Anolis sagrei: one gene and its partners. The protein of the gene in region 3 purifies or fractionates together with the protein of the main gene of each other region. This does not show direct contact. Links are inferred from orthologs where the notes say so. Each region holds a gene or a part of one and is shown on either strand. Other genes may lie near its edges. The genes, in order: RMND5A, MKLN1 and MAEA.

Region 1 (10,611 bases), on a different chromosome or scaffold from region 3:
ACCTGCAACGCAGGCAGAATCACGAGCGGGGCCTCTCCGGATGAACGAAGTGAGTGCGTGAGTTCATAAACAGAGATTTCCAAACAATGTGATGCGGCGGGGAAAAAGCCAATGGGATTTTGACCTGCAATAGTATAGTGTCGAGATCCAGGGAAGTCATGCTACCCCTCTATTCTGTCTTGGTTAGACCACATCTGGCATACTGTGTGCAATTCTGGGCACCACAATTCAAGAGAGATATTGACAAGCTGGAATGTGTCCAGAGGAGGGCGACTAAAATGATCAAGGGTCTGGAGAACAAGTCCTATGAGGTGTGGCTTAAAGAGCTGGGCATGTTTAGCCTGAAGAGAAGGCTGAGAGAAGACATGATAGCCATGTATGTGAGAGAAACCAACTGATCCCTAACCCATCTAAAACACAGACGTGCGCCTTTCACCTCAAGAACAGACAAGCATCCCGAGCTCTGAGGATTACCTGGGAAGGAATCCCACTGGAGCATTGCAACACATCCAAATACCTGGGAGTCACTTTGGACCGTGCTCTGACCTACAAGAAGAGCTGCCTGAACATCAAACAAAAAGTGGGCACTAGAAACAACATCATACGAAAGCTGACTGGCACAACCTGGGGATCACAACCAGACACAGTGAAGACATCTGCCCTTGCGCTATGCTACTCTGCTGCTGAGTACGCATGCCCAGTGTGGAACACATCTCACCACACTAAAACAGTAGATGTGGCTCTTAATGAGACATGCTGCATTATCACAGGGTGTCTGCGCCCCACACCACTGAAGAAATTACACTGTTTAGCCGGTATTGCACCACCTGACATCTGCCAGGAAGTTGCAGCCAATAGTGAAAGGACCAAAGCAGAGACATCTCCAGCTCATCCCGTTTGGGTATCAGCCAGCACGTCAACGACTTAAATCAAGACATAGTTTTCTTAGATCTACAGAGACACTCGCTGGAACACCCCAGCAAGCGAGAGTCCAAAAGTGGCAGGCCTAAACCCAGCACCTCAATTCATGGGTGATACCAGATGAGAGACTCCCCCCTGGACACACAGAAGACTGGGCGACTTGGAAGGCGCTGAACAGACTGTGCTCTGGCACCACGAGATGCAGAGCCAACCTTCAGAAATGGGGCTACAGGGTGGAATCCTCGGCATGTGAGTGCGGAGAAGAACAAACCACTGACCACCTGCTGCAATGCACCCTGTGCCCTGCCACATGCACAATGGAGGACCTTCTTGCGGCAACCCCAGAGGCACTCCAAGTGGCCAGATACTGGTCAAAGAACATTTAACCAAATACCAAATTTGCAAAATCTGTGTGGTTTTTTTTCTCCTTTTTCTTTTTCCTTTTTCTTTTTAATCTGTGTGTTTGTTTTGCTCTGTTAGAATTGTAATACAATGGTTGCTGATGACACGATAAATAAATAAAATGTGAGAGGAAATCATAGGGAGGAGGGAGCAAGCTTGTTTTCTACTTCCTTGGAGACTAGGATGCAGACAATGGCTTCAAACTACAAGAAAGGAGATTCCATCTGAACATTAGGAAGAACATCTTAACTGTGAGACCTGTTTAGCAGTGGAACTCCCTGCCCTGGAGTGTGGTGGAGGCTCCTTCTTTGGAAGCTTTTAAACAGAGGCTGGATGGCCATCTGTCAGGGGTGATTTAAATGCAATTTTCCTGCTTCTTGGCAGGGGGTTGGACTGGATGGCTCATGAGATCTCTTCCGATTCTATTTGTGTAAATTTGGGCCTATATATAATCCACATTGAACTCGATTATATGGTACTGTGGACTCAGATAACCTTGTTCAAAACAGACATTGTGGGATTTTCTGCCTTGATATTATGGGTTATATGGCTATGTGAGAAGATCAGAAGTTGAGGTCGAGTATCCGCTTTTTCAATTGTGAGGCCCACAAGCTGTTTTTCTATCGCTAGCCAGCAAGCGACGGAAGTTAAACCAATGGCGGGAAGACCCCGAGGAGTCACTTCCGCTTTCCAGCCTGTGTTTACTCATTAGACCTCACATATAAACAAACAACACCCCCCCCCCCCTTTTTCCCACACTGTCTGTCAAAGCTCTTGACGCAAAAAGTCCGAAATGGGCAGGCAATGAGGGACTCCAATTGGAGGCCAGTCTTAGGTGCCTGAGTTAATGCCTGACTTGAATACGCAGAGATGTGTTTATCTAGTGTAGAACAATAGACTGAAGTGTAGATTCACACACAGTTCTCCACTTTTGGGTTCATTGAAAGGACTTTCCAACTGAAATTATCCTACACTTTGGGATTTCCCTGATATGGGCAAACTTCTGCCCTCCGGGTGTTTTGGACTTCTAGATTATTGATGTGGCCATACCAGGTGACAGTTGCATTGAGGAAAACCTCATCCGTTATCAGGACCTCAATATTGAACTGCAAAGGCTCTGGCATAAACCAGTACGGGTGGTCCCAGTGGTCACTGGCGCACTGGGTGCCATGCCAAAAGATCTCAGACGGCATTTGGAAACAATTAACATCGACAAAATCACGATCTTTCAACTGCAAAAGGCCACCTTACTTGGATCTGCGTGCATCATTCGGCAATACATCACACAGTCCTAGATGCTTGGAAAGTGTTCGACTTGTGATTTTGAGATACGAAATCCAGCATATAGATCTCGTTTGCTGTGACATACTGTGCTTTTGTGTCAGTATAATAATAATAATAATAATATTTATTTATACCCCGCCACCATCTCCCCAAAGGGACGGCTTACATGAGGCCAAGCCCAATAATACAATTACAATAAAATGGGTTGTAGGTTTTTTCGGGCTGCATGGCCATGGTCTAGAGGCATTCTCTCCTGACGTTTCGCCTGCATCTATGGCAAGCATCCTCAGATAATGTTTTAATGTGTATGGTGCTGATATTTTAATCGTGTAATGAAGTGGCATTGTGTTGTTATTGTATATTTTTTGTATGTTAACACATGTTGTGAACCGGTCCGAATCCCTCTTTGAAGGTGAGAGGGTTGGTATATAAAACCTCGAAATAAATAATAATAAATCAGAGGTAGTGAGGTCTGTTGGAACTAGGAAAAGGGGTTTATATCTGTGTGGAATGACCAGGGTGAGACGAAGGACACTTGTCTGCTGGAGCTAGGTGTGAATGTTTCAACTAACCACCTTGATTAGCATACAATGGGCTGACTGTGCCTCGAGCAAACTTTTGTTGAGAGGTAATTAGATGTCCCTGCCTGCTTCCTCTCTGTTGTTGTGCTGTTTCAATTTTAGAGTTTTTTAATACTAGTAGCCAGATTGTGTTCATTTTCATGGTTTCCTCCTTTCTGTTGAAATTGTCCACATGCCAATAATACAATTACAATAAAATGAATACAAAACTGCAAAAATTGTTGTTGTTGTTCATTCGTTCAGTCATCTCCGACTCTTTGTGACCTCATGGACCAGCCCACGCTAGAGCTCCCTGTCGGCCGTCACCACCCCCAGCTCCTTCAAGGTCAGCCCAATCACTTCAAAGATGCCATGCATCCATCTTGCTCTTGGTCGGCCCCTCTTCCTTTTGCCTTCCACTTTCCCAGGCATAATTGTCTTCTCTAAGCTTTGCTGTCTCCTCATGATGTGGCCAGAGTACATCAACTTTGTCTCTAGTATCCTTCCCTCCAATGAGCAGTCGGGCTTTATTTCCTGGAGGATGGACTGGTTGGATCTTCTCGCAGTCCAAGGCACTCTCAGAACTTTCCTCCAACACCACAGCTCAAAAGCATCGATCTTCCTTCGCTCAGCCTTCCCTAAGGTCCAGCTCTCACATCCGTAGGTTACTACAGGGAATACCATTGCTTTAACTATGCGGATCTTCGTTGCCAGTGTGATGTCTCTACTCTTTACTATTTTATTGAGATTGGACATTGCTCTCCTCCCAAGAAGTAAATGTCTTCTGATTTCCTGGCTACAGTCTGCATCTGCAGTAATATTTGCACTTAGAAATACAAAGTCTGCCACTGCCCCCACGTTTTCTCCCTCTATTTCCCAGTTGTCAATCATGCTTGTTGCCATAATCGTTTTTTTAATGTTTAGCTGCAACCCAGCTTTTGCGCTTTCTTTTTTCACCTTGATTAGAAGGCTCCTCAGCTCCTCTTCTCTTCTGGCTATCAAAGTGTTATCATCTGCATATCTAAGGTTGTTAATGGGTTGTTGTAGGTTTTTCGGGCTATATGGCCATGTTCTAGAGGCATTCTCTCCTGACGTTTTGCCTGCATCTATGGCAAGCATCCTCAGAGATAGTGAGGTCTTTTGTAACTAGGAAAATGTGTTTATATATATGTGGAATGAGCAGGGTGGGACAAAGAACTCTTGTCTGTTGGAGCTAGGTGTGAATGTTTCAACTGACCACCTTGATTAGCATTTGATGGCCTGGCAGTTGTTTGGTGTGGCTTGTTGGTGCCCGGGGCAATCTTTTGTTGAGAGGTGATTAGATGTCCCTGATTGCTTCCCTTTATTGTTTTGCTGTTGTAATTTTAGTGTTTTTTAATACTGGTAGCCAGATTTTGTTCATTTTCATGGTTTCCTCCTTGAACTAAATCTGGCTACCAGTATTAAAAAAACTCTAAAATTACCACTGCAAAACAACAGAGGGAAAACAATATCACCTCTCAACAAAAGATTGCCCCCAGGCACCAACAAGCCACACCAAACAATACAATAATTAAAATGAAGAACAATTTTAACAAATATAAACTTATTAGTATTTCAATGGGAAGTGTGGGCCAGCTTTTGGCTGATGAGATAGGATTGTTGTTGTGTGCTTTCAGGTCATTTCAGACTTAGGTTGACCCTGAGCGAGGGCCGGGTAAATGACCTTGGAGGGCCGTATTCGACACCCGGGCCTTAGTTTGAGGACCCCTGCTCTAGAACATGGCCATACATCCCGAAAAGACCTACAACAACCTCGTGATTCCGGCCATGAAAGCCTTCGAAAGTAAGGTTAATGTTTCTTCCAGCAATTTTAACCCCAGCCTTGCATTCCTCAAGCCCCGCACATTGCATGATATGTTCTTGCTATAAGTTGAATAGGTTGGGTGAGAGTATACAACCCTGCCGTACCATGGTCAGTTCGTATTGTTGCTACTTGGTCCTTATAAACGTCCCCGGCCCAAATTACCTGTCCAAACGAATCTCCCTCTATGTACCATCGCGGAGAATAAGATCCTTCGGGGAGGCCCTGCTTTCCATCCCGCCATTGTCACAGGCGTGATTGGTGGGGACGAGAGACAGGGCCTTCTCGGTGATAGCTCCCCCGCCAATGGAACTCCCTTCCTTGTGAGATCAGGTCAGCCCCCTCCCTCCTGTCCTTTAGAAGGATGGTAAAAACTTGGCTGTGGGACCAAGCTTTCGGGACAGGGCAATGAAGCAACAATGGGAAAGATGACAGGGCCAGTTGGATTTGATGCGGATGGCTAGGACGGTTTTAAAATGTGTTATTTTAAATGGTGTATTTTAATATTTGTTGATGTTCATTCGTTCAGTCGTCTCCGACTCTTCGTGACCTCATGGACCAGCCCACGCCAGAGCTCCCTGTCGGCCGTTACCACCCCCTCAAGGTCAGTCCAGTCACTTCAAGGATGCCATCCATCCATCTTGCCCTTGGTCGGCCCCTCTTCCTTTTGCCTTCCACTTTCCCCAACATAATTGTCTTCTCTAGGCTTTCCTGTCTCCTCATGATGTGGCCAAAGTACTTCAACTTTGTCTCTAGTATCTTTCCCTCCAGTGAGCAGTCGGGCTTTATTTCCTGGAGGATGGACTGGTTGGATCTTCTCGCAGTCCAAGGCACTCAAGCTCCAGCGCCCCGGCAAGGCGGTGATCCTTTGCTGGAGATTTTAATATTTAGATAAATGATATTTAGATAAATGTTTTTTAATGTTTATGTATTGTATCCAGGCATTGAATGTTTGCCATGTATATGCTGTGCTCCACTCTGAGTCCCCTTTGGGGTGAGAAGGGCAGAATATAAATGTTTTAAATTGATAATAATAAATTATACAGATTCCTCAGGAGAGAGACAAGGTGATTCGGTATGCCCATACCACCAAGAACTTGTCACAAATGTATTATGATCCACATAGTCAAAGGCTTTAGAATAGCCAATAAAACAGAAATAGATGTTTTTCTGAAACTCCCTTCCTTTCTCCATTATTCAGTGAATATTGGCAATTTGGTCTCTCGTTCCATAAACAGTGCCCATAAGCAGTGGGAAAAATACTCCAAATACACCCGGAAGCATTCTCTGTGAGCTAAGCAATGCGTTTCTCTACAACTTCCTAGATCTATGAGTCAGCGTCCAATCAAACAGCACGGCTGAGGAACTCGGGGTTGTTTTTCGGCGCCGCCTGTGACGCAGCGCCAGCCCTGCTCGGGAAAGGACCCCGCTCGTCTATTGCGCTGCCTGCAAAAACAACCCCCACCACCAGCCCGGGTTGGCCTCGGGGTCTGTTTGCGGGAGCTCCGTGGGCCGGAGCGGCGGGAAAAAGTGGCCATGGACCAGTGCGTGACGGTGGAGCGCGAGCTGGAGAAGGTGCTGCAGAAGTTCTCGGGCTACGGGCAGCTCTGCGAGCGGAGCCTGGAGGAGCTGATCCAGTACGTGGCCGGACTGCGCCGCGAGATCCTCCAAAGCGAGAGTAGGTGCCCCCTCCCCTCCTCCCCCCCTCCGGTTGCCCTTGGCAACGAGGCCTACCTGTGGTCAGTCTCTCCTGGGAGCCCGGCGTTTGCGCTTCACTTGGTCAACGTGTCTTTGAAGAGAGGTTGGCGGGAAGGAAACTTCACTTATGGCTCGTTTGCATCAGCCTTCAAAGGGCCCTCAACTAGACTATACTTTTTGTCCATAGTGGTCAGTTCTCTTTAGTTTTGACCCAGTTTGCGTCCCCAGGTGTTTTTGAAGGCTAATTCCCATCCCTTTACATCAGTGTTTCTCAACCTGGGGGTCGGGACCCCTGAGGGGGTCGCGAGGGGGTGTCAGAGGGGTCGCCAAAGACCATAAGAAAACACAGTATTTTCTGATGGTCATGGGGATTCCATGTGGGAAGTTTGAGCCAATTCTATGGTTGATGGAGTTCAGAATGTTCTTTGATTGAAATGAACTATAAATCCCAGCAACTACAACTCCCAAATGTCAAGATCTATTTTCCCCGGACTCCACCAGTGTTCACATTTGGGCATATTGAGTATTCATGCCAAGTTTGGTCCAGATCCACCATTGCATGAGTCCACAGTGCTCTCTGGATATAGGTGAACTACAACTCCCAAATTCAAGGTCAATGCCCATCATAGAATCATAGAATCTAAGAGTTGGAAGAGACCTCATTGGCCATCCAGTCCAACCCCCTGCCAAGAAGCAGGAACATCGCATTCAAATAACCCCCGACAGATGGCCATCCAGCCTCTGTTTAAAAGCTTCCAAAGAAGGAGCCTCCACCACACTCTGGGGCAGAGAGTTCCACTGCTGAACGGCTCTCACAGTCAGGAAGTTCTTCCTCATCTTCAGATGGAATCTCCTCTCTTGTAGTTTGAAGCCATTGTTCCGCGTCCCAGTCTCCAGGGAAGTAGAAAACAAGCTTGCTCCCTCCTCCCTGTGGCTTCCTCTCACATATTTATACATGGCTATCATATCCCCTCTCAGCCTTCTCTTCTTCAGGCTAAACATGCCCAGCTCCTTAAGCCGTTCCTCCTAGGGCTTGTTCTCCAGACCTTTTATCATTTTAGTCGCTCTCCTCTGGATACATTCCAGCTTGTCAATATCTCTCTTCAATTGTGGGGCCCAGAATTGGACACAATATTCCAGGTGTGGTCTAACCAAAGCGGAATAGAGGGGTAGCATTACTTCCTTAGATCTAGACACTATGCTCCTATTGATGCAGGCCAAAATCCCATTGGCTTTTTTTGCCGCCACATCACATTGTTGGCTCATGTTTAACTTGTTGTCCACAAGGACTCCAAGATCTTTTTCACACGTACTGCTCTCGAGCCAGGCATCCCCCATTCTGTATCTCTATCAAACCCTTCCAATGTTATTCATTGGTCATGGGAGTCAAGTTTGGTTCAAATCCATCGCTGGTGGAGTTCGGAATGTTCTTTGATTATAAGTGAACTATAAATCCTAGCAACTACAACTACCAAATTACAAAATCAATCCTCGCCCAACCCCACTAGCATTCACATTTGGGTGTATTGGGTATTTGTGCCCAGTTTGGTCCAGTGAATGAAAATGCATCCTGCATATCAGATATTTACATTATGATTGATAACAGTAGTAAAATGACTTATGAAGTAGCAATGAAAACAATATTATGGTTGAGGGTCACCAGAACATGGGGGACTGGATTAAGGGGTCACGCCATTAGGAAGGTTGAGAACCACTGCTTTACATTGTCCGCCATACAGACTGAGGAGAATGGGAATTGCAACCCAACAACACTTGTGGCTGTGCGGTTAGGGGGAAAGGTCAGAGGACATTTTAAAGCCCAGCATCATTTTTACTATTTACTAGCCATCCCCTGCCACGCATTGCTGTGGCGGCCCACATCGGGGTTCTGTGTGGGAAGTTTGGCCCAATTCTATTGTTGGTGGGGTTCAGAATGCTCTGTGATTGAAGGTGGACTATAAATCCCAGCAGCTAGAACTCCCAAATGTCAAGATTCTATTTTCCCCAAACTCCACCAGTGTTCACATTTGGGCATATTGAGTATTCGTGTAGAGCAGGGATCCACGAACTTTTAAAACAGAGGGCCAGGTCACAGTCCCTCAGACTGTGGATGGCCGGATTATAATTTGGAAAAAAAGAATGAATTCCTATGCACACTGCACGTATCTTATTTGTAGTGCAAAAAACACTTTAGAACAGGGGTCCTCAAACTAAGGCCCGGGGGCCAGATGCGGCCCTCCAAGGTCATTTACCCAGCCCTCGCTGAGGGTCAACCTAAGTCTGAAACGACTTGAAAGCACACAACAACAACAATCCTATTTCATCAACCAAAAGCTGGCCCACACTTCCCATTGAAATACTAATAAGTTTATATTTGTTAAGATTGTTCATTTTAATTATTGTATTGGTTTCTAATTGTTTTTTTGCACTACAAATAAGATATGTGCAGTATGCATAGGAAGTCATTCATGTTTTTTCAAATTATAATCCGGCCCTCCAACAGTTTGAGGGACTATGACCTGGCCCTCTGTTTAAAAAGTTTGGGGACCCCTGCTTTAGAACAATACAATAATTAAAATGAAGAACAATTTTAACAAATATAAACCTATTAGTATTTCATTAGGAAGCGTGGGCCTGTTATTGGCTGATGAGATAGGATTGTTGTTGTTGTTGTGGTTGTGTGCTTTCAAGTCGTTTCAGACTTAGGTTGACCCTGAATGAGGTAAATGACCTTGGAGGGCCGTATTCGGCCCCCGGGCCGTAGTTTGAGGACCCCTGGTGTAGAGCTTGGTCCAGATCAATCATTGTTTGAGTCCACAGTGATCTCTGAATGTAGGTGAACTACAACTTCAAAACCAAAGGACACTGCCCACCAAACCCTTCCAGTATTTTCTTTTGAACATGGGAGAACCGTGTGCCAAGTTTGGTTCAATTCCATCGTTGGTGGGGTTCAGAATGTTCTTTGATTGTAGGTGAACTATAAATCCCAGCAACTACAACTCCCAAATGACAAAATCAATTTTTATGAGTGAAGGACATACATTGGGTTGTTAGGTGTCTTGTGTCCAAATTTGGTGTCAATTCGTCCGGTGGTTTTTGGGTTCTGTTAATCCCACAATCAAACATTACATTTTTATTTATATAGATTTATTGTATTTTTACTCCGCTCTATCTCAGCCCCGACGGGGACTCGGAGCAGCTTCCTAATTGTCAACAGTTCAGTGCCCCATTAAAACATAAAACATACAAAATACATAATGCATTAAAATCATAAAAACAGAGACATATAAATACAGGGTGCAGCAGCATAACTTCCTTTTTTCAAAACTTAATAAAACCCATTGTATGAATCAGGATTTTTTAAATAATGTAAGCGCATTATATAATGCAGACGCAGACTGCAGCCAGGAAATCAGGAGCAGGGGGGGCTCAACCATTACACAAAGTAAGCATTCGCAGTATAGTTGATTTTGCCCAGAGGCGCTCTTGAGATGCCCTTCCGGGAAAATAGACCTTGACATATGCGAGTTGTAGTTACTGGGATGTATAGTTCACCTACAATCAGAGAGCATTCTGAACTCCACCAATGATGGAATTGAACCAAATATGGCACACAGAACTCCCACGACGAACAGAAAATATATATCAGTGATTGGCGGGGGGCGTACCAAAATACTATTTGCTTACCGTTGAAAATTACCAAGGGCCGTCTCTGATCAGGAGACACTTCTTGGGAGGAGAGCAATGACAAATCTTGATAAAATAGTGAAGATTAGAGACATCACACTGGCAGCAAAGATCCGCATAGTCAAAGCAATGGTATTCCCCGTAGTAACCTACGGAAGATAGATGCTTTTGAACTGTGGTGTTGGAGGAAAGTGCTGAGAGTGCCTTGGACTGCAA
Region 2 (10,789 bases), on a different chromosome or scaffold from region 3:
CCCAGTTCAAAGCAGATATTGTGTGAATTTTTTTGCCTTGATATTCTGGGATATAGAGCTGTGTGGAAGGGCCCCCAGGTTAAAGCAGATATTCTGGGTTATATGGTTGTGTGGCTTTGGAAGCAGGCTTTTGGAGACGATCAGCCTTAAACGGAGGCATTTCAATAAAAGCAATAGTTTTTAAAATTGTATTGCTTTTATTTCTGCAAGAGAAGCTATTTTTGATGTTGATGTTCTCATAGGCTCTCAGTAATGCAAATGTTCTGTTGTAAATGATGTTAATTTGACCTATTTTTTTGTTTTGTTTTAAAAGTTACTTGCTGTAAGCTGCACTGAGGGGGCAGGACATAAATAAAGCATTATTATTATTATTATTATTATTATTATTATTATTATTAGAAACACAACAAGATGAGTCCACAGCAGACAAGATCACCCTGCTGGCTGTTGTATTGGATCACACGTCGGACACGTCCCAAGTGTCTAGGACTGTGTGATGTATCGGCAAATAATGCGTGCAGATCCCAGTAAGGTGGCCTTTGCAGCTGGCAGATGGTGATTTTGTCAGTGCCTATTGTGTTTAAGTGCAGGCCAAAGTCTTTAGGCACTGCACCCAGTGTGTCAATCACAACTGGGACCACCTTGACTGGCCTGTGCCAGAGCCTTTGCAGTTCGATCTTTAAATTATTATTATTATTATCATCATCATCTACACCAGGGGTCCTCAAACTAAGGCCCGGGGGCTGGATGCGGCCCGCCAAGGTCATTTACCCAGCCCTTGCGCAGGGTCAACCTAAGTCTGAAACTACCTGAAAGCACACAACAACAACAATCCTATCTCATCAGCCAAAAGCAGGCCAACACATCCCACTTAAATACTAATAAGTTTATATTTGTTAAAATTGTTCTTCATTTTAATTGGTGTATTGTTTTTAAGTGTTCTTTGCACTACAAATAAGATATGTGCAGTGTGCATAGGAATTCATTCATGTTTTTTTCAAATTATAATCCGGTCCTCCAACAGTTTGAGGGACTGTGACCTGGCCCTCTGTTTAAAAAGTTTGAGGACCCCTGATCTACACCGTAGAATTACTACCAAAAACTCTTCCCATATTAAATTACTATTACTACTCTGTCTTGCAGGTGTTGTTGGCTTGTTGATATCATAATTACACTATTAATTTTACTTCTAATGAACTTTTGGTGTTTCTGTAAACCAATGTCTGTGTCGATGTTTTATATTGAGTGAAGTTACTTGACAGGCTAGGCTACCATTTAATTTGTGGCAGCAAGTTCAATTCGATTGTAGGTGTCGGTTTATTTTGGGACTTGGCCGGGTTGTTATTGTATTTACATTTGAACTGATGGTCTTGTCAAGGCATTAAATGTTTGTCTTTTGTTTGTTGAAATCTGCTCTGAGTCCCTTTGGGGAGATAGGTCAGGTAACAAATAAAGTCTTATTAGGTTGTTGTAGGTTTTTTCGGGCTATATGGCCATGTTCTAAAGGCATTTTCTTCTGACGTTTCGCCTGCATCTATGGCAAGCATGCTCAGAGGTAGTGAGGTCTGTTGGAACTAGGAAAAAGAGGTTTATATATCTGTAGAATGACCAGGGTGGGACAAAGGACTCTTGTCTGTTCAAAGCAGGACAAGTGCAAAGAAGCCAGAATGGATGTCCAAAGAACTTCTAACTGTGCTAAGACACAAAAGAGACATGCACAAGAAGTGGAAAAAGGGAGAAATCACCAAAGAAGAATTCAAACAAATAGCCAACACCTGTAGGGAAAAGGTCCGCAAGGCTAAAGCAAAAAACGAGCTCAGACTTGCCAGGGACATTAAAAACAATAAAAAGGGCTTCTATTCTTATGTCAGTAGAAAAAGGAAAAACAAGGAGGCGATAGGACCTCTTCGAGGAGAAGATGGGGCAATGCTGACAGGGGATAGGGAAAAGGCAGAACTACTTAATGCCTTCTTTGCCTCGGTCTTCTCACAAAAAGAGAGTCTTCAACCTCAGCAAGATGGAGCGGATGAGGGATTGGAGGACATCCAACCCCAAATTGGGAAAGAAGTCGTCCAGGAATACCTGGCCGCTCTTAATGAGTTCAAGTCCCCAGGGCCAGATCAACTACACCCCAGAGTATTGAAGGAACTAGCTGAAGTCATTTCGGAACCATTGGCAACCATCTTTGAGAGTTCTTGGAGAACGGGAGAAGTTCCAGCAGATTGGAGGAGGGCCAATGTGGTCCCAATCTTCAAGAAGGGAAAAAAGGACGACCCAAACAACTACCGTCCGGTCAGCCTCACGTCGATACCGGGCAAGATTCTGGAAAAGATTGTTAAGGAAGTGGTCTGCAAACACTTAGAAACAAATGCAGTCATCGCTAATAGTCAACATGGATTTATCAAAAACAAGTCATGCCAGACTAATCTGATCTCTTTCTTCGATAGAGCTACAAGCTGGGTAGATGCAGGGAATGCCGTGGATGTAGCGTACCTGGATTTCAGTAAGGCCTTCGACAAGGTCCCCCATGACCTTCTGGCAAGGAAACTAGTCCAATGTGGGCTAGGCAAAACTACGGTGAGGTGGATCTGTAATTGGTTAAGTGGACGAACACAGAGAGTGCTCACTAATGCTTCCTCTTCATCTTGGAAAGAAGTGACAAGTGGAGTGCCGCAGGGTTCCGTCCTGGGCCCGGTCCTGTTCAACATCTTTATTAACGACTTAGATGAAGGGCTAGAAGGCATGATCATCAAGTTTGCAGACGACACCAAATTGGGAGGGATAGCCAATAGTCCAGAGGACAGGAGCAGAATTCAAAACGATCTTGACAGATTAGAGAGATGGGCCAAAACTAACAAAATGAAGTTCAACAGTGACAAATGCAAGATACTCCACTTTGGCAGAAAAAATGAAATGCAAAGATACAGAATGGGGGACGCCTGGCTCGAGAGCAGTACGTGTGAAAAAGATCTTGGAGTCCTCGTGGACAACAAGTTAAACATGAGCCAACAATGTGATGTGGCGGCAAAAAAAGCCAATGGGATTTTGGCCTGCATCAATAGAAGCATAGTGTCTAGATCTAAGGAAGTAATGCTACCCCTCTATTCTGCTTTGGTTAGACCACATCTGGAATATTGTGTCCAATTCTGGGCACCACAATTCAAGAGAGATGTTGACAAGCTGGAAAATGTCCAGAGGAGGGCGACTAAAATGATCAAGGGTCTGGAGAACAAGCCCTATGAGGAGCGGCTTAGGGAACTGGGCATGTTTAGCCTGAAGAAGAGAAGGCTGAGAGGAGATATGATAGCCATGTATAAATATGTGAGAGGAAGCCACAGGGAGGAGGGAGCAAGCTTGTTTTCTGCTTCCTTGAAGACTAGGACGCGGAACAATGGCTTCAAACTACAAGAGAGGAGATTCCATCTGAACATTAGGAAGAACTTCCTGACTGTGAGAGCCGTTCAGCAGTGGAACTCTCTGCCCCGGAGTGTGGTGGAGGCTCCTTCTTTGGAAGCTTTTAAGCAGAGGCTGGATGGCCATTTGTCAGGGGTGATTTGAATGCAATATTCCTGCTTCTTGGCAGGGGGTTGGACTGGATGGCCCATGAGGTCTCTTCCAACTCTATGATTCTATGTTGGAGCTAGGTGTGAATATTTTAACTGACCACCTTGATTAGCATTTGAATGCCTGGCAGTCCCTGGAGCAATCTTTTGTTGAGAGGTGATTAGATGTCCTTGTTTGTTTCCTCTCTGTTGTTGTGCTGTTCTAATTTTAGAGTGTTTTAATACTTCTAGTCAGATTTTGTTCATTTTCATGGTTTCCTCCTTTCTGTTGAAATTGTCCACATGCTTGTGTATTTCAATGGCTTCTCTGTGTAGTCTGACATGGTGGTTGTGAGAGTGGTCCAGCATTTCTGTGTTCTCAAATAATATACTGTGTCCAGGTTGATTCATCAGGTGCTTTGCTATGGCTGACTTCTCTGGGTGAAGTGGTCTGCAGTGCCTTTCATGTTCCTTGATTCGTGTTTGGCCGCTGCCATACTTCTGAGGATGCTTGCCATAGATGCAGGAGAAACGTCAGGAGAAAAATTGCCTCCAGAACATGGCCATATAGCCCGGAAAAACCTACAACAACCCATGGATTCCGGCCATGAAAGCCTTCGACAATACAATACACTGAATGTTTATCGTTTGTTTGTTGAAATCTGCTCTGAGTCCCTTTGGGGAGATAGGGTGGGTTACAAATTTTATTTATTTATTTATTTATTTGTTGTGTCAGAGCAACCAGTCCATTATATTACATTTGTAACAGAACAAACAGACAAATACAAAACTTGTGAGTTTGGTAGTTGGTTAAATGTCCTTTGGTTACATATAAAGTCTTATTTGTAGAATTAATGCAGTTCAACGCCACTCTGAATTTAGGGTGCCAAGATTCCTGATACAAAAAGGCCCCACCTGTAATATTCCTTTTTGTTATGGCATCTCTTTTGGTTGGGAAAATAATGAGGTTCGAGACACACACACACACCTTTAATTGCTATGGGTGAATGCTATGGAATCTTGGGAAATGTAGTTTCCCAAGGTTGCTTCACCAAACTGTAAGTCCTAGGATAGGACAGCATTGGGGAATGGCAGTTCAAAGTGGTGTCAAAGTGCATTCAATTTAGAGCAGGACTGGGCCAACTTGGGCCCTCCAGGTGTTTTGGACTCCAACTCCCACCATTCCTAACAGCCTACTACAGTTCCCAGAAGCCCCCAGCCTGCAAATGCAGGCTGGGGGCTTCTGGCAACTGTAGTAGGCTGTTAGGAATGGTGGGAGTTGGAGTCCAAAACACCTGGAGGGCCCAAGTTGGCCCAGGCCTGCTCTAGAGGCCTAGTCCCTGGCCTCCCCTCAGGAGGGGGCGGGGCAGGCTTCCGAGGCCTTCCCCTGACTTCCTCCTCGCTCCTCGGCCCTTCCCCCTCGACTCACTCCGGCAAATAAGTGGAGGAGAAGCTGCTCCATCGGTGCAACGTGTAGGCCAAGGCGCGGCTCTCGAGGGCGCTGTTCGGGCCGAAATCGAAGCCTAAACCGGGAGGGCCCGCCGCCGACGCCGCTGCCGCCGCCATTTTGTCATCAAAAGAGGATCCGCTAGAGAAGCAACGGAGCGTCGGCATTGCGCATGCGCGAGACGACACGTCCGGTTCCCCATCGCCTTGTGTTGACCTCCTCCTATTCCAAGATTACATATAAACCCGCAAGACCTTTAAAGAGCGTCGCTTGGGAGCCGGAAGTTTTTGTAAATTTTAACTATCTCTTTCAAAGAGGGGAGGGAAACTGGATGGAGAGCAAAGGGGAGCAAATGGCTGCTCTTAAAGGGCCCGCAGCGCATTTTGGATGCTCAGGGCTATTCAACTTATTTATTTTATTTATTTCACAGTTTTCTATACCGAGCTTCTCAACCTCATTGAGGGACTCCGCCCGGTTTCCAGCCATAAAAAACATATACATTCATTAAAATATCATATATCACAAATTACAAAAACAACTTTAAAAACACTATATATAAAACTACAGTGGTCAGTCGTCCTATTAAGATGGATCTACATCAACTTCCATCCAGGGTCCTATGGTGTTGTCTCATTCATCGAAGGCCTGACTCCACAGCCACCTCTTCACCCGTTTCCTAAATGTTAGGATGGATGGGGCGGTTCTGGCCTCCAGAGGGAGAGAGTTCCAAAGTCGCGGGGCCATCACCGAGAAGGCCCTGTCCCTCGTCCCCACCAGGCGCGCTTGCGAGGCCGGTGGGACCGAGAGCAGGGCCTCTCCAGATGATCTTAATAATCTTGATGGTTCGTAGGGGAGAATACGTTCGGAGAGGTAAACAGGGCCGGAGTCGTTTAGGGCTTTATAGGTCAACACCAGCACTTTGAATTGTGCTCGGAAGCTAATTGGCAGCCAGTGGAGGTGGCGTAACAGCGGAGTGGTGTGCTCCCTGTACCCTGCTCCCGTTAGTAATCTGGCTGCCGCACGTTGGACTTGCTGCAGCTTCCGGGCAGTCTTCAAAGGCAACCCCACGTAGAGAGCGTTGCAGTAGTCTAAGCGGGATGTAACCAAAGCGTGTACTACCGTGGCCAACTGCCAAGAGTTTAGCAAGTTGGGCTGTTCACAACTATTTATTTTTGTTCGAGAGCAGTACATGTGAAAAAGATCTTGGAGTCCTCGTGGACAACAAGTTAAACATGAGCCAACAATGTGATGTGGCGGCAAAAAAAGCCAATGGGATTTTGGCCTGCATCAGTAGGAGCATAGTGTCTAGATCTAAGGAAGTAATGCTACCCCTCTATTCTGCTTTGGTTAGACCACATCTGGAATATTGTGTCCAATTCTGGGCACCACAATTCAAGAGAGATATTGACAAGCTGGAATGTGTCCAGAGGAGGGCGACTAAAATGATCAAGGGTCTGGAGAACAAGCCCTATGAGAAGCGGCTTAGGGAACTGGGCATGTTTAGCCTGAAGAAGAGAAGGCTGAGAGGAGATATGATAGCCATGTACAAATATGTGAGAGGAAGCAACAGGGAGGAGGGAGCAAGCTTGCTTTCTGCTTCCTTGGAGACTAGGATGCAATGGAACAATGGCTTCAAACTACAAGAGAGGAGATTCCATCTGAACATTGGGAAGAACTTCCTGACTCTGAGAGCCGTTCAGCAGTGGAACTCTCTGCCCCGGAGTGTGGTGGAGGCTCCTTCATTGGAAGCTTTTAAGCAGAGGCTGTATGGCCATCTGTCAGGGGTGATTTGAATGCAATATTCCTGCTTCTTGGCAGGGGGTTGGACTGGATGGCCCATGAGGTCTCTTCCAACTCTTTGATTCTATGATTCTATGATTCTATGATATCCTTCTTTATCTTGCCATACGGAGACTCACGATCAAAAACATTACAACTTCAAATATACAAATATACAATAATAGAACAGTATATCATTATATATTATTATATAGTATCAGAACTAATTATGTTTAATATATTAGTATTGCTATATTACAATATTATTATTATATATTATACTAGCCATCCCCTGCCACGCGTTGCTGTGGCCCACTCTGGTGGTCTTGGGTGTTCTGTGTGGGAGGTTTGGCCCAATTCTATCGTTGGTGGGGTTCAGAATGCTCTGTGATTGTGGGTGAACTACAAATCCCAGCAACTACAACTCCCAAATGTCAAGATTCTATTTTCCCAAAACTCCACCAGCGTCGACGTTTGGGCATATTGAGTATTCGTATAGAGTTTGGTCCAGATCCATCATTGAGTCCACAGTGCTCTCTGGATGTAGGTGAACTACAACTTCCAAAACCAAAGGACACTGCCCACCAAGCCCTTCTAGTATTTTCTGTTGGTCATGGGAGAATTGTGTGCCAAGTTTGGTTCAATTCCATCGTTGGTAGGGTTCCGAATGCTCTTTGATTGTAGGTGAACTATAAATCCCAGCTACTACAACTCCTAAATGACAAAATCAATTTTTTGAGTGAAGGACATATATTGGGTTGTTAGGTATCTTGTGTCCAAATTTGGTGTCAATTCATCCAGTAGTTTTTAAGTTCTTTTAATCCCACGAACGAACATTACATTTTTATTTACCAAATAATTGGACTTTGGGCTTATTCCATCACTTCTGCAGATAAAAGTCTGGGTTATGAACTTTTTGAGAAGTGTTAAATCAGATGCAGACTCTATTAAGTCAATCAAGCTGTTCTCACAGCGGTTAAGCAGGCCAACTGATTTTCAGGGCACTAATCAAAACTCTCTGGACGATGCAGGGACTCTGAAAAATACATAGCAGAGCCATGATGCACTAAAACAGTGACTAAAGCCAGCAGAATATGCAAGTATAAGGCATGGTGGCACATAAACCAAATTGAAACCAGGCACAGAAGAGTGGAGTGAAGCATGTGTATACCAGATGCCTGTAAGACATTTGCTAAGACCAGTTCTGGAACCAGATGCTGTTGCAGCCCGGGACTGAAAACACCTAAGACCACAGCATCACACAAGAGTCCACAACATAAGCAAACAATTTATTGTAAAAACACATAAAAATATATGAAAAGTCAGGAATAATGAAGGAAGATGTATAACCTAAAAAGGGGTTAGCAATAGGTGATAACCAAACAGTGTTCCAAATGCCTCATGCAGATCCCAAAGGAACACAGGAATAGCCCACAAGTACAGCATAAGTCCACAAGCAAAAGGTATACTTAGTAAACTTGAGCAGGAATACAAAAAGAAGAACATAGAAAACTTCCAGGATACTTAAATCCAAAACCAAGGCTTGACTTGAAACAAGAACCAGAGAACTCAGGCCTAGCTTCTCACTCGAATGCTAGGTTGCCTGAACTAACCCTTAGGTCAGTGGTTCTCAACCTGTGGCTCCCCAGATGTTTTTGGCCTTAAACTCCCAGAAATCCTAACAGCTGGTAAACTGGCTGAGATTTCTAGGAGTTGTAGGCCAAAACACCTGGGGACCCACAGACTGAGAACCACTGCCTTAGGTAAACAACTTGTTAATTAATAGAAAGCCATGAAATCTTTCCTTTCCCCATAAATATTTCCCCAACTTTCCCACATAATCGCTCTGAATGGTGCTGCCTATTTTCTGCTCTAATCTGTAAATGAAGACTTTTGTTGATCTCTGTAACCCCAGGTGTTTTTCTCTGGGAGCCTACCATATCACTTAGCTCTTCACACAACTCCTTGTCTAATGTTGTGGTTTCTGGCTCCTCTGACTGACCTTGAAGTCTTGCACTTTCTGAGTCAGATTTTTCCCAGAGAGAACCATCATTTCCCTGGCTTGAATCTTCATCACTTTGTGCCCCAGGAAATCCCACAAGAAATCCCACTATCCCCTCTAAATAATTGATGAATCTATCAGCCTCAGACTATATTGCAACAGATACAGAATAATCTATGAGCTCCATATCTGGCTTAGTTATTCCATATTACAAGTACTCTATCAGTTTTTTACTTTAGTGAAGATACTGAGAACCTTCTATAGTTTAATTTTTACTTTAGTGAAGATACTGAGAGCTATAGTTTAATTTTGTCATTCAAATATATTGAGATTGAGATACAATGGTGGTGATGTGTGTCTTCAGGCCATTTGTAGTTTATGGTGATGCTAAAGTTACCCTATAATGGGATTCATACAATTGGAAGAGACTTCAAGGGCCATCCAGTCTGACCCTCTTCTTCCAGTAGGAAGACACAATCAAAGCATTCCCAACAGATGGCTATCCAGCCTTTGCTTAAAATCCTCCAGAGAAGGCTTTTAAGCAGAGGCTGGATAGATTAGAGAGATGAGAAATAAAAGTTGAGAAATATATGCAATATCTCATCTCAACATACTAAGAACAGAGTTTCATAAATGAATAGATGCCAAACCACCTTCTAGAACAGGCGTGGGCAAACTCTGGCCCTCCAGGTGTTTTGGATTTCAAATCCCAATTGTGGGATTTGAAGTCCAAAACACTTGGAGGGCCAAAGTTTGCCCACGTCTGTTCTAGAAGGAAACTGTTTTGCTTTGGAGACGATCCTGATTGTGGCAGCTGACAGGCAACCAGGGATTTCAAGGAAGAGCTTTGTGTCTCCTTCGTGATGGAGATCTCTCTAAAGACATGACTCAGCTGATGAGCCAAGGAAGGAGCGGGCACAGAAAGCCAAAGCAGCAGCAGCAGCTCTACAAAGCTTGAACAGAGAAACCGAAAGAGACAGACAAGTGCACATTTTATCTCATGCAAGATTAGTGGGTGTGCTATCTGCACAAGCAGCTTGCTTGTTGTTTTGGAAATAAATAGATTACAAAGATGCTCTTCCTTTTTTTCTCCTCCCTTTGTGAAATTACATGTCCCTGGAAGATTCCGGGATGTGACAAGGTGGGGCTGAAAGAAGTAGTTCTGTTGTCGATTTACTTTTGGAACAATGTCAGTGAGGTTTTGTTTTTTGAAATTGAAATCTTATCCAGAATGCATCCACACTGTAGAATGAATGCCGTTTGACACCATGGCTCAGTGCTATGGAAGCCTGGGAGCTGACTTTTGGTGAAGAACCAGTACTGTTTGTCATGCCGTTGGAAGCTTCTGGGAACTGCATTCCAAAAGGGAACTTTTTCCAACCTCTGTGTGTCAGTATCATGATCTCTGTGGACCCAGACAGGACCAGATCTAATGGTTTTTAAGTGACAAGAGGGCAGTTTTTGATTGGACATTATGACTGTTTGACAATGGAACAAATTGTCTAGACATATGGTGAGTCTCCTTCTCTGGAGCCCTTTCTACACTGCCATATGATCCAGATTATCAAACATATTATCAAACATGGCCATCAGGTTCCACAATCAAGATCATCTCCAAAGTACAACAGTCTCCTTCTAGAACAGGCATGGGCAAATTTTGGCATGACAAACTTATGGCATGACAAACTTACGGCATGACAAACAGGACTGGTAATCCACATTATCTGCTTTGCACTGGATTACAAGAGTTCACACTGCTATATAATCCAGATTATCAAAGAAGATAATCTGGATTCTATATGGCAGTGTAGAAGGGCCCTAGATGTCTTCAAAAAGATGTTGGACAGCTCCATTAGGGATGTTTACGCTAGGAGTTCTTACCCTGAGCAGTGGTTGGACATCCAGCTTCATGATTATATGACTTAAACAGGGAGGGAAAGAAGGGAGGGAGGGAAAGAGGGGAGGGAAACAGAAAACTGGACAAAAAGGAAGGAAGGAAATAGGAATGTAATAAGGGGT
Region 3 (10,330 bases):
TCTCAAGTCACTTCTGACATGAAAAACAAAAATTCGATACTTAATACTAGTTGCCTTAATTGATTGAAGCTCTAAATGAAGAAGTATTTTGGAGAAGTCCAAAACAAACAGCAATGTGTGCTTCTTTAAAACAGATGGCAGGACCAAAACTGCTAACCTTATCCTACTCTTAAGCGACACCAGTGACAATCAAACTCTTAAACGCATACCATTTTCCTTTAAATCCTTTTCTTGTAGTATAAAAAGCTTGAAAAGCTAATAGTATCAAGACATATCTTCACAATGATATGACTACATCTTTTAATGAAAAATAGAGGGAAAAGAGTTTTAGTAATACAAGAAGTTTAAGGGAAAACAGTTGTTCACTTTACTATCGATTTGGGCAGATTTTAAATAGAAATACATAAAGGAAAAGATTTGTTCACATGCAAATAAGGCCTTCTGTGGTGAGTCACCATGGTTGCACTAGGCAAGTTATGTGCTCATAGAAATACTTTGGTATCATCACTAGCCATATAACTACATGAAAAGTCGAAGTGCATCTTATCAATGCTGCCATGTGCTTCCAAGTCAGCTTTAATTTAAAGTGACCCCTTCCTAGTTCCCTTAGCAATTTTTTTTCCAGAGGAAGTTTGAAGAGAGTGTGACTGACTTCTTCAAAATCTGAACCAGGAAAATTGACTTGCTCAAGATTTTCTGGTAGGTTTCCATGGCTGACCAAAGATTTGAATCCTGGTTTCCTAGAGACTTATCCCAACACACCAATCATTATTGCCATTAAAAGTTTGTACTTTATTAATATAATCCTCTCCCTCTTTAATCTAATCTAATAAATCACTCCCCTCTGCTTCAAATCAATTTACGTAGCTCAAAAAGGTTTGCTTTAGATTAGTATTTTTCAAACTGTGCTCCTTCAGATGTTTTGGGATCTCAGAAATCCCAGCTAGTTTAACAGTTATTAAGAATTGTGGGAGCTGGAGTCCAAAACATCTGGAGAAGTAGAGTCTGAGAAATACTGCTCTAGATTGTGTTTGGATTCTCTTTCTGTACTTAGTGACATGAAGAACACTCTTTCAAAGGATTCATATTACATTATATACTTGTGTATAAATCAACCTCATATATAAGTAGAGGGCAAGATTTGGAGTGAAAATTATGAATTTTGCTTGAAGCTGAAGGTAAAACTTTGGGGCATATAACAAATCTGATAGCCTTTAAAATGTATGCAGGAACTATACTTTAAAAGAGCTAAAGAGGAAAGCAACTGTTTGTTGGAAGGGTTACAATTGGGGTATGTTTACATTGCATTATTAATCTACACATACTCCAATTCTATTAATTTGTGCCAACATCTTCACAAATATGGGCAAGGAAAGGAACATAAATTAAGAAAATGAATAAGAACACGGAAAGCAATCTGCTCTCTATTAGGGCATCAGTGCATGAGGCAGTATCAAGAAGTACTCCCACCCCATTATTGCTCCTTGGCAAAACAAAAGAAAGGGCAGTCCTCCCTCCTTACAGACCTTCTCTTTCAACCTGTGGCATCATCAGCAACATGGAAGATCCCAAGCAAGGTGATTTACTTGACATTTTGGGCACCTGAAGTGTAGGGGAGTGATGGTGGCTATATTTTAATGTCTTCTTACATAAGCTTCTCTGTAGTGACTGTAATAGCAATTTTCAATAGGGTCTTACAGACTTTTCAAATGGCTGCCATCATTGCAATCCACCTCAATCCCAAAATGGCAGATGTGCAAAATTCTTCAAGTGCCTCCATATTACTGAGCACTTCTCAGACCAAAAAGGCAAGGGAGGGAGGAGACTCCTTTTTCTCTCTTTGGTTTGAATGAGGGAGGTGTACAGGGTGTGAGTGCTTCTAGCACTGACCACTGTACAAGTTGATCCAAGGTTTGATGAGTGATTTTTTTGTCTATTTTTAGCTTACATGTAAGTATAATATATGGTAAATAGTTTTACCACCTTCTCATAAGTATAATGCAGAAAACACACCTGACACCCTTCTATCATCATACATTGGGCATTTAACTTATATCAATTATCGAATGACCATACAGATACTCCTTTTTTGGGGAAGGTGCTTTTAACACCTAGTGCTCATGAGTGGATTTTCCAATTTTCTAGGTCCATTCCAATCTCATTTACAGCACTTGTTAAAACTGAAAAAGGAGATTATATATCAATGCACATTTTCCTGTATCTTCTTTCAATCCCATCAGTGGTAGGTTCCATTCATATATAGATCCTGCATTCTAGAAAGTAATGCTGAAATATTACTGGTCCATAGCACTCATACTATCAGGTTTAAAAGGGCCTTTTTGTATCCTCCATGCAGTTCTTTGTCACCATAATTTCAGTATCTTCAATCTGCTGTTGAAATAAGATCTTTTCATCAAATTCAGATGGTGCTAAGAAAATGCTAAATAGGCACCTGGAATGAACAAAGTTGGGACAGTGATGTCCAAGATGGATCTGATTTGTAGCTTTGGGATACTGTAAAATCCAGACTGATCTCTAGAGGTCTAAAGCACTAAAAAAAAGAACATTGTTTAATGCACCAGTGTATTCCAATGACTAGACAGTGTGGCCTCAGATGCATCCCATGGAAACATCCTCTCCAGACTGTTTAAGTGAGGCTGTCCTTCAAAACTCTTCAAAATATGGTTGGAATTGCTGTACCAATCATGTTACATCACTGCCTGTGCTTACTAGGGCTAGAAAGCTATATGATTCCCATCTGGAGGTAGAAACTCCAGTGATTACAGAACATGGCAACTAGTTTACTAGCTTGAATTCAGAGCCATAAAAATGAGCTACATTGGCTCTTAAGTCTGTTACCAGATCTAATTCAACAGGCTGTAACTGCTATAACTTTCAAGCCATAAAAGGCCTCCCTAAAGGGTTTCATATACAGCTATCTGCATACTAAGCTGTTCTAGCTGGACATCATAGTCGATCTTTCAGGCATAGTATTGCTGCCAGACTCTGTTCTGCATACTGTAATATATGCATTTGAAGAGCATTATATTTTATTTGCATATTTTAACCATGTTGTGCCCCACTTTGAGCCATAGGGAGGCAGGTAACAAAGACATTTATTTTTATCTAAAGATTGTGTTGTTGAAGGCTTTCATGGCCAGAATCACTGGGTTGCTGTGAGTTTTCCAGACTGCACGGCCATGTTACAAAAGCATTATTTCCTGATGTTCCACCCACATCTATGAGGCGCCCCTGGTGGCACAATGGTTAAACCCTTGTGCCAGCAGGACTGCTAACTGACAGGTCACTGGTTCGAATCTGGGGAGAGTGGGTTGAGCTCCCTCTGTCAGCTCCCCATGAGGGGACATGAGAGAAGCCTTGCAAAAGGATAGTAAATCATCAAACATCTGGGCATCCCCTGGGCAACGTCCTTGCATGCAGATAATTTTCTTATATCAGAAGCCACTTGCAGTTTCTTAAGTCATAGAATCATAGAGTTGGAAGAGACCTCATGGGCTATCCAGTCCAACCCTCTGCCAAGAGGCAAGAAAATTGCATTCAAAACACCCCCCCACAGATGGCCATCCGGTCTCTATTTAAAAGCTTCCAAGGAAAGAGCCTCTACCACACTCCGTGGCAGAGAGTTCCACTGCTGAACGGCTCTCACACTCAGGAAGTTCTTCCTAATGTTCAGATGGAATCTCCTTTCTTGTAGTTTGAAGCCATTGTTCCACATCCTAGTCTCCAGGGCAGCAGAAAACAAGTTCACTCCCTCCTCCCTAGAACTTATTTATACATGGCTATAATGTATCCTCTCAGCCTTCTCTTCTTCAGGCTAAATATGTCCAGCTCTTTAAGCCACTCCTCATAGGGCATGTTCTCCAGACCCTTGATCATTTTAGTCGCCCGTCTCTGGACACATTCCAGCTTGTCAATATCTCTCTTCAATTGTGGTGCCCAGAATTGGACACAATATTCCAGGTGTGGTCTAACCAAAGCGGAATAGAGGGGTAGCATGACATCCCTGGATCTAGACACTATACTCCTATAGATGCAGGCCAAAATCCTAACATGGAAAAAAACAACAACAACACATCTATTGCAGGCATCTTCAGAGGTTGTGTGAACTGGGCCCTTTCTATTGCACTGTAAAATGTGACACTTGTTTTCTAGACAGGCCCTATATTCCAGGATCTGATCCCTGGTTTTCTTCTTTAAACTGGATTATATGAGTCTGCATTTCCAGATAATCTGGGATAAACAGAAAAATTGGGATCAGGTCCTGGGTTAAAGGGCCCTAAGAAAACGAATTTGACACTATCCTTCTTAAACAGTCGAAGTCATTATTTTCAGGCTCTCTGGTTTGCTCATTTGTCTGTTTTAAAAAAAAATGTTTTTGTTTGATGGATGTCAAGCATTTTAACACTAATTTATTTGGAAGCAATTTACAAAAACCATCGACCCATGAGGGCAATAGAGGCCAAAAGGCCTTCCCGTCAAAGCTCCCAAATCACAAAGAGCGGTGTTCAAAAGAAAACCTCAGCAGGTGTTTGACGGAGAAGCGCCAGTGTGACGGGGCGACGACGGAGGGCAGGCGCATCCCCTCCCACCACTGCCACACAATAAAGGAATCTGCAAAGGGCCCGCCCCCGGCCTCCTCTCGCTGCCAACCGCCGCTGAGCCGTGAAATCCTCGGCTGAAGGCCCCGGGGAGCAGCCTCCCGTTTTGTGGCCGCGGGGAAGGAAGGAGGGAAGGGACCGGGCCCCGCCTGGGAGGAAGAGGAAGCCAGGCGGAAGTAGGCCAGCCCTGCCCCCTCCCGGGAGTCGCCCTCGAAGGGAAGGGAAGGGAGAGTGAGAGGCCTGGCCCAGCGCTGGGAGTGAGCGAAGGAGGCCCAGGCGGCAGGCACCCACCTTGAGCGTGGGGTACTCCTGCACCTTCAAAGTCATTGAGAGCTGAGCCGCGGATTCCTGCACCGCCATCTTGGGCACCGGGCGCTGAGGAGGACGCCGCGGCACCACTGCCACCGCCTTCCTCCTCTTCCTCCTCCTCTTCCCTCAGCGGCTCCTTAACGCCAACAGCCCCCTCCCTCCCTTCCTTGCTTGCTGCCTTCCTTCTCCAAAAGCGAAGGGACGCTCTCTAGACAGGCCCCGCGCTGCACTCTGGGTAATGGAGCGCTTCCGCCTCCTCGTCTCAGTCTCCTGACAGACGGCGCTTCGGCCGAATAAAGGCTTCGCTTTCCGCCCCGCCCCCCTGGCCCTCAAGCCCGAATGGTTGGCCAGGAATGGGCGGTCGCGAGGCGAGGCAAGCAACCAATCATATTGTCCTTCTTAGATCTCTTCCCGACCCGGACTCTCTTTTCTTTTATGAGGTGTATATTCTGTGCAAACCACTGAAAGAGTTTGGAACGACAGCGTTGATTGGAGGAGAGGCGAGGGGCCGGGCGGGGTTTAACGAAGGCCAGGAAAATATAACTGACACGACCCGGTGTCAAATGTTGTCAGCGTGCTTTGGCCCAATCGGAGCCGGATGCTCGAAGGGTGGGCGGGACTTACAAACCCAAAGCGGGAGGCGGGAGTTTTGATTTGGTTCTTGGTACAAGCAAGGAAGAGACAGGCAGGCACAGAGAGGTAAAGGTCCAGAATAGGTCTACGTTCAAACTGGATGCAGTGTGGTAGGAAAGCAGAAGCGCGCTTAGATCTGCCTTTGAGTGAGGGGAAGGGCCCCTGGCACCGGCGAGCTAGTTCCCCTTTCCTTTACCTGGCAAAATGGCACTACCTAAAAGAATCCCACACCTTGTGTGACTGTGGAGCAGTGGACAATCTGTATGCTTGTCCATTGCGCCCTGCCTCATATACAGAGGAGGAAGTGTTGGAGGCTACAGGTTCGCAGCTTGGGAGTTCTCCTGGATTCATCACTAAGCCTGGAATCCCAGGTTGCAGCGGTGGCCAGGGGAGCGTTCGCACAATTTAAACTTGTGCACCAGCTGCGCCCGTACCTTGGGAAGTCAGACTTGGCCACGGTGGTCCACGCTCCCGTTACATCTAGGATAGACTACTGCAATGCACTCTACGTTGGGTTGCCTTTGAAGACTGCTCGGAAGCTTCAAATAGTCCAACGACAGGCAGCCAGGTTAATAACTGGGGCCAGCTCCACTGGCTGCCGGTTTGCTACCGGGCACAATTCAATGTGCTGGATTTGGCCTATAAAGCCCTAAACGGCCCCGGTCCAAATTACCTGTCCGAATGCATCTCCCTCTATGAACCATCACGGAGATTAAGATCCTCCGGGGAGGCACTGCTTTCCGTCCCACCATTTTCACAGGCACGATTGGTGGAGACGAGAGACAGGGCCTTCTCGGTGATTGCTCCCTGGCTATGGAACTCCCTTCCTGGTGAGATCAGGTCGGCTCCCTCCCTCCTGTCCTTTAGAAGGATGGTACAAACTTGGCTGTGGGACCAAGCTTTCGGGACAGGGCAATAAAGCGGCAATGGGAAAGATGACAGGGCCAATTGGATTTGACCTGGATGACTAGGATGGTTTTAAATGGTGTATTTTAATATTTTGATTTTTTTTAATGTTTATGTATTTTATGTGAATCTGTGTCCCGGCATTGAATGTTTGCCATGTATATGCTGTGCTCCACCCTGAGTCCCCTTTGGGGTGAGAAAGGCAGACTATAAATGTTTTAAATAAATAAATAATGCCATTGCTGTTGCCCATTTTTGGTCAAAAGATATTTAGCCGCCTTCATACCTTCTATTTTATCAGTTTTATACTAATTTATGCAATGCTTTTGAGACGAAATAAATAAATACTAGCATTGTTGTTGTTTATTCATTCAGTCGCTTCCGACTCTTTGTGACCTCATGGACCAGCCCACGCCAGAGCTCCCTGTCAGCCGTCACCACCCCCAGCTCCTTCAAGGTCAGTCCAGTCACTTCAAGGATGCCATCCATCCATCTTGCCCTTGATTGGCCCCTCTTCCTTTTTTCCTTCCATTTTCCCCACCATCATTGTCTTCTCCAAACTTTCCTTTCGTCTCATGATGTGGCCAAAGTACTTCATCATAGGCCTCTACTATCCTTCCCACCAATGAACAGTTGGGCATTATTTCCTGGACTATGGACTAGTTGGATCTTCTGCTGGTCCAAGGCACTCTCAGCACTTTCCTCCAACACCACAGTACAAAAGCATCTATCTTCCTTCGCTCACCTTCCCTATGGTCCAGCTCTCACATCCATAGGTCACTACGGGGAATACCATTGCTTTTACTATGCAGATCTTGATTGCGGATCTTGGTTACTGGCATTAGGCTCTTGTTTGTTTAAAAGTATGTCTCTGGACCCTTCCACACAGCTTTGAACTGGGTTATTTGAGTCCACACTCAGATTATGTGGGATTTCCTGCCTTGATATTCTGGGATATAAGGCTGTGTCGAAGGGCCCTCTGCGAAGGGCTTTGCTCTCAGCCAAAGAGGGCTGTTCTGTGTCTTCGAGGAGGCTCACTTCTGGTGATCCCGTCATGGGGTTTCTTTGCAACCCTTCCTCTGACGCTAAGAGAGTGTGACTTGTCTAAGGGCCCTTCCGCACAGCCCTATATTCCAGAATATCTGCTTTGAACTGCGTTATCTGTGTCCACACTGCCATATATTCCAATTCAAAGCAGAAAATGTGGGATTTTGTTCAGTTGTGTGGAAGGGGCCTTAGTGCTAGGTTCCTTCTACACAGCTATATGAAATCCACATTATCTGTTTTGAACTGGATTATATGGCAGTGTAGACTAAGATAATCCAGTTCAAATCAGATAATGTGGATTTTCTGCTTTAATAACCTAGATTATCTGGTAGTGTAAAAGGGGCCTTACTTTTCATTCCTATCTTCTAACACTTTCTTAGAAGTGAAAATAGTCAAAGACAATGGTGATCTTCAGCAGCAAAAAGCAGGTCCCATCACTCTGATTAGAATATTCAAAATACAGCTGTAGCCTTTCTTGAACAACTTCTGAGCTCCTGAGCATTTTCTTTCATGCAAAGCTCCTGGTGGTGCAATGGGTTAAACCAGTAGTTCTCAACGTGTGGGTCCCCAGATATTTTGGCCTTCAGCTCCCAGAAATCCAAAACAGCTGGCAAATTGGCTGGGATTCCTGGGAGTTGTATGCCAAAACACCTGCGGACTCCCAGGTTGAAAACCACTGGATTAAACCCTTGTGCCAGCAGGACTGCCAACTGAAAGGTTGGGGTTTTTTATCCAGGGAATGGGGTGAGTTCCCGTCTGTCAGCTCCAACTTCCCATGTGGGGACATGAGCAAAGCCTCCCACAGGATGGTAAAAGATCCAGGCATCCCCTGGGCAATGTCCTTGCAGATGGGCAATTCTCTCACACCAGAAGCGACTTGCAGTTTCTCAAGTCACTCCTCGCATGAAAAAAAAAGCCGCAGCAGAAGGAGACAGGAAGCAAATTTTATCCTCTCAGCTCTTGTTTCTTTTCTCCTAAAATTGTTTATATTCCAGGTGGTCCTTACAGGATGGGAACTGCTGTTTTACTTTAAGTATTGATGCCAGAGGTTGCTGCTTTCTATTCCTCCCTCCCAAACACCCCCCCCCCCTTTTCTTATCTGCTGCCTGGTTTGGATTGTCAGTCTTGTTTTGTGCTCTGTATTTAAGCCACTGTTTAATCATTTGTGCCTCAGTAGCATGGAATTGCTTAAAACTAAATAGAAAAATATGCAGATGTGTTTATGGCCTTTCAGCTGAGTAATGGCATTGTCTTATTCCTTGGTTCTTCAAGTTATATACATGTGTGAATGCAGTTTGATGCATTGTGTGAAAGAATGTGATGGGATGCATCTGCCCATAATATGCTCTGAGGAACTTCTTTCCAAGCAGATGTGTTGCTGCTCACAGGTCAGTGAAATTGTTACATCTGCTTTGCCTTTAGTCTGAAATTTAAAGAACCACATTTTGGGGATGCAGTTCAGCACCTTGGATAGCTTTTTGGGGCTTCAGAGAAACACCTGGAATGGATTCATTGCTCCATTGTTAGGGATTACACCTGTCAACACTGAATTAATTAACTTTTGCAATTCACTGTGAGAGGAGAGAGGCCATGTAGTAATTGGAAGGCCAGTAGCCAAGAAGCAATGGGATGTGTTAGTTACTGAGGAAACCAACAATGGTCAAACCTCACCTGGAATCACACTGTGTCCATTTCTGGGCACCACAATTTAAGAGAGATATTGACAAGCTAGAATATGTCCATGGGAGAGTGACTAAAATGGTCAAAGGTTTGGATACCAAATACTATGAAGAACATCTTAAGGAGCCGAGCATTTTTAGCCTGCAGAAGAGAAGGGTGAGAAGAGACATGATAGCAATGTTTAAATATTTGAAATGATGCCATAAAGTAGAGGGAGTGGGCTTGTTTTCTGCTGCTATGGAAACTAGGACTCGGAGCAATGGGTTCAAATTACAGGAAAGGAGATTCCGCATAAGTATTAGGAAGAACTTTCTGACCATAAGAGCTGTTCAGCAGTGGAACTCTCTGTCTTGGAGTGTGACGGGGGCTCCTTCTTTGAAGGCTTTTAAACATACTGTATGGCCATCTGTAAGGGGTACTTTGATTGTGCTTTTCCTGCACAGCAAGGCATTGGACTGGATGGCCCGTGTGGACTCTTCCAACTCTATGATTCAATTGATTCTATGCCCAAAAAGTAGTCATTGTATAGTTCCCAGGGTCCAGGAAGCAGGGTGAATTCTCCAAGTTGACTTGGTGTCTCTTTCAATGGATGGGAGACCAGCAGGTGACTGCTGTCTGCTGCCTACCTTATCTAGGCAGCTGTTCCTTCAGAGCTGACGCACCAAAGCTGCAAATGCACCAGCCCTGCCCCAAACACTCTTACAGTGCTCCTGTCTCAGAGGAAAGTCATGACATTATCTGTTAGAAGCATATTTTATGCCTTCATATTTATATTTATAAATATATGGATTTTTTAATCTCCTTTCCAGACAAAAAACTATGAGAAATAGAAAAGTGAGAACAATTCTGAACAAATTTTCTTAATCTGTAAAAGTGCATTAAAATGGCATCTTCAAGGAATATTAAAAAGAAGATGCTAAGTCAGCATTGCACTGAACTGATTGAGCATAGGTGTTTTCTCTCTGGCGTAAGTAAGTGCCTCCCTGCTGGCAGGTTCTCTTCTGACAGCTTATCTCGAATATCTGATAGAGTACTTTGCCAGCAGAGCTGCTCTGCTGGTTAAGATTTCTAGATCCCAAAAGGGGCACTAAAGGAAGAGAGAGATGTTGGAGGAGCTTATTCAAGTCAGATCAAAA

The links.
Region 1: the proteins of MAEA (region 3) and RMND5A purify together in Homo sapiens (affinity purification with mass spectrometry; 5 studies listed by BioGRID and IntAct, counting the BioPlex papers as one, with this or other methods). This does not show direct contact. The link is inferred for Anolis sagrei from reciprocal best matches to the Homo sapiens genes MAEA and RMND5A.
Region 2: the proteins of MAEA (region 3) and MKLN1 purify together in Homo sapiens (affinity purification with western blotting; 3 studies listed by BioGRID and IntAct, with this or other methods). This does not show direct contact. The link is inferred for Anolis sagrei from reciprocal best matches to the Homo sapiens genes MAEA and MKLN1.

Annotation. Positions count from the first base shown.
Region 1 is NC_090026.1:52,494,292-52,504,902, forward strand, and holds the start of RMND5A (E3 ubiquitin-protein transferase RMND5A), read left to right. Parts: upstream 1-6,388; 5' UTR 6,389-6,546; coding exon 6,547-6,688; intron 6,689-10,611.
Region 2 is NC_090025.1:190,750,834-190,761,622, reverse strand, and holds the start of MKLN1 (muskelin), read right to left. Parts: upstream 5,126-10,789; 5' UTR 5,109-5,125; coding exon 4,972-5,108; intron 1-4,971. UniProt on the Homo sapiens protein: Component of the CTLH E3 ubiquitin-protein ligase complex that selectively accepts ubiquitin from UBE2H and mediates ubiquitination and subsequent proteasomal degradation of the transcription factor HBP1.
Region 3 is NC_090023.1:143,471,474-143,481,803, forward strand, and holds the start of MAEA (E3 ubiquitin-protein transferase MAEA), read right to left. Parts: upstream 5,204-10,330; 5' UTR 4,980-5,203; coding exon 4,911-4,979; intron 1-4,910.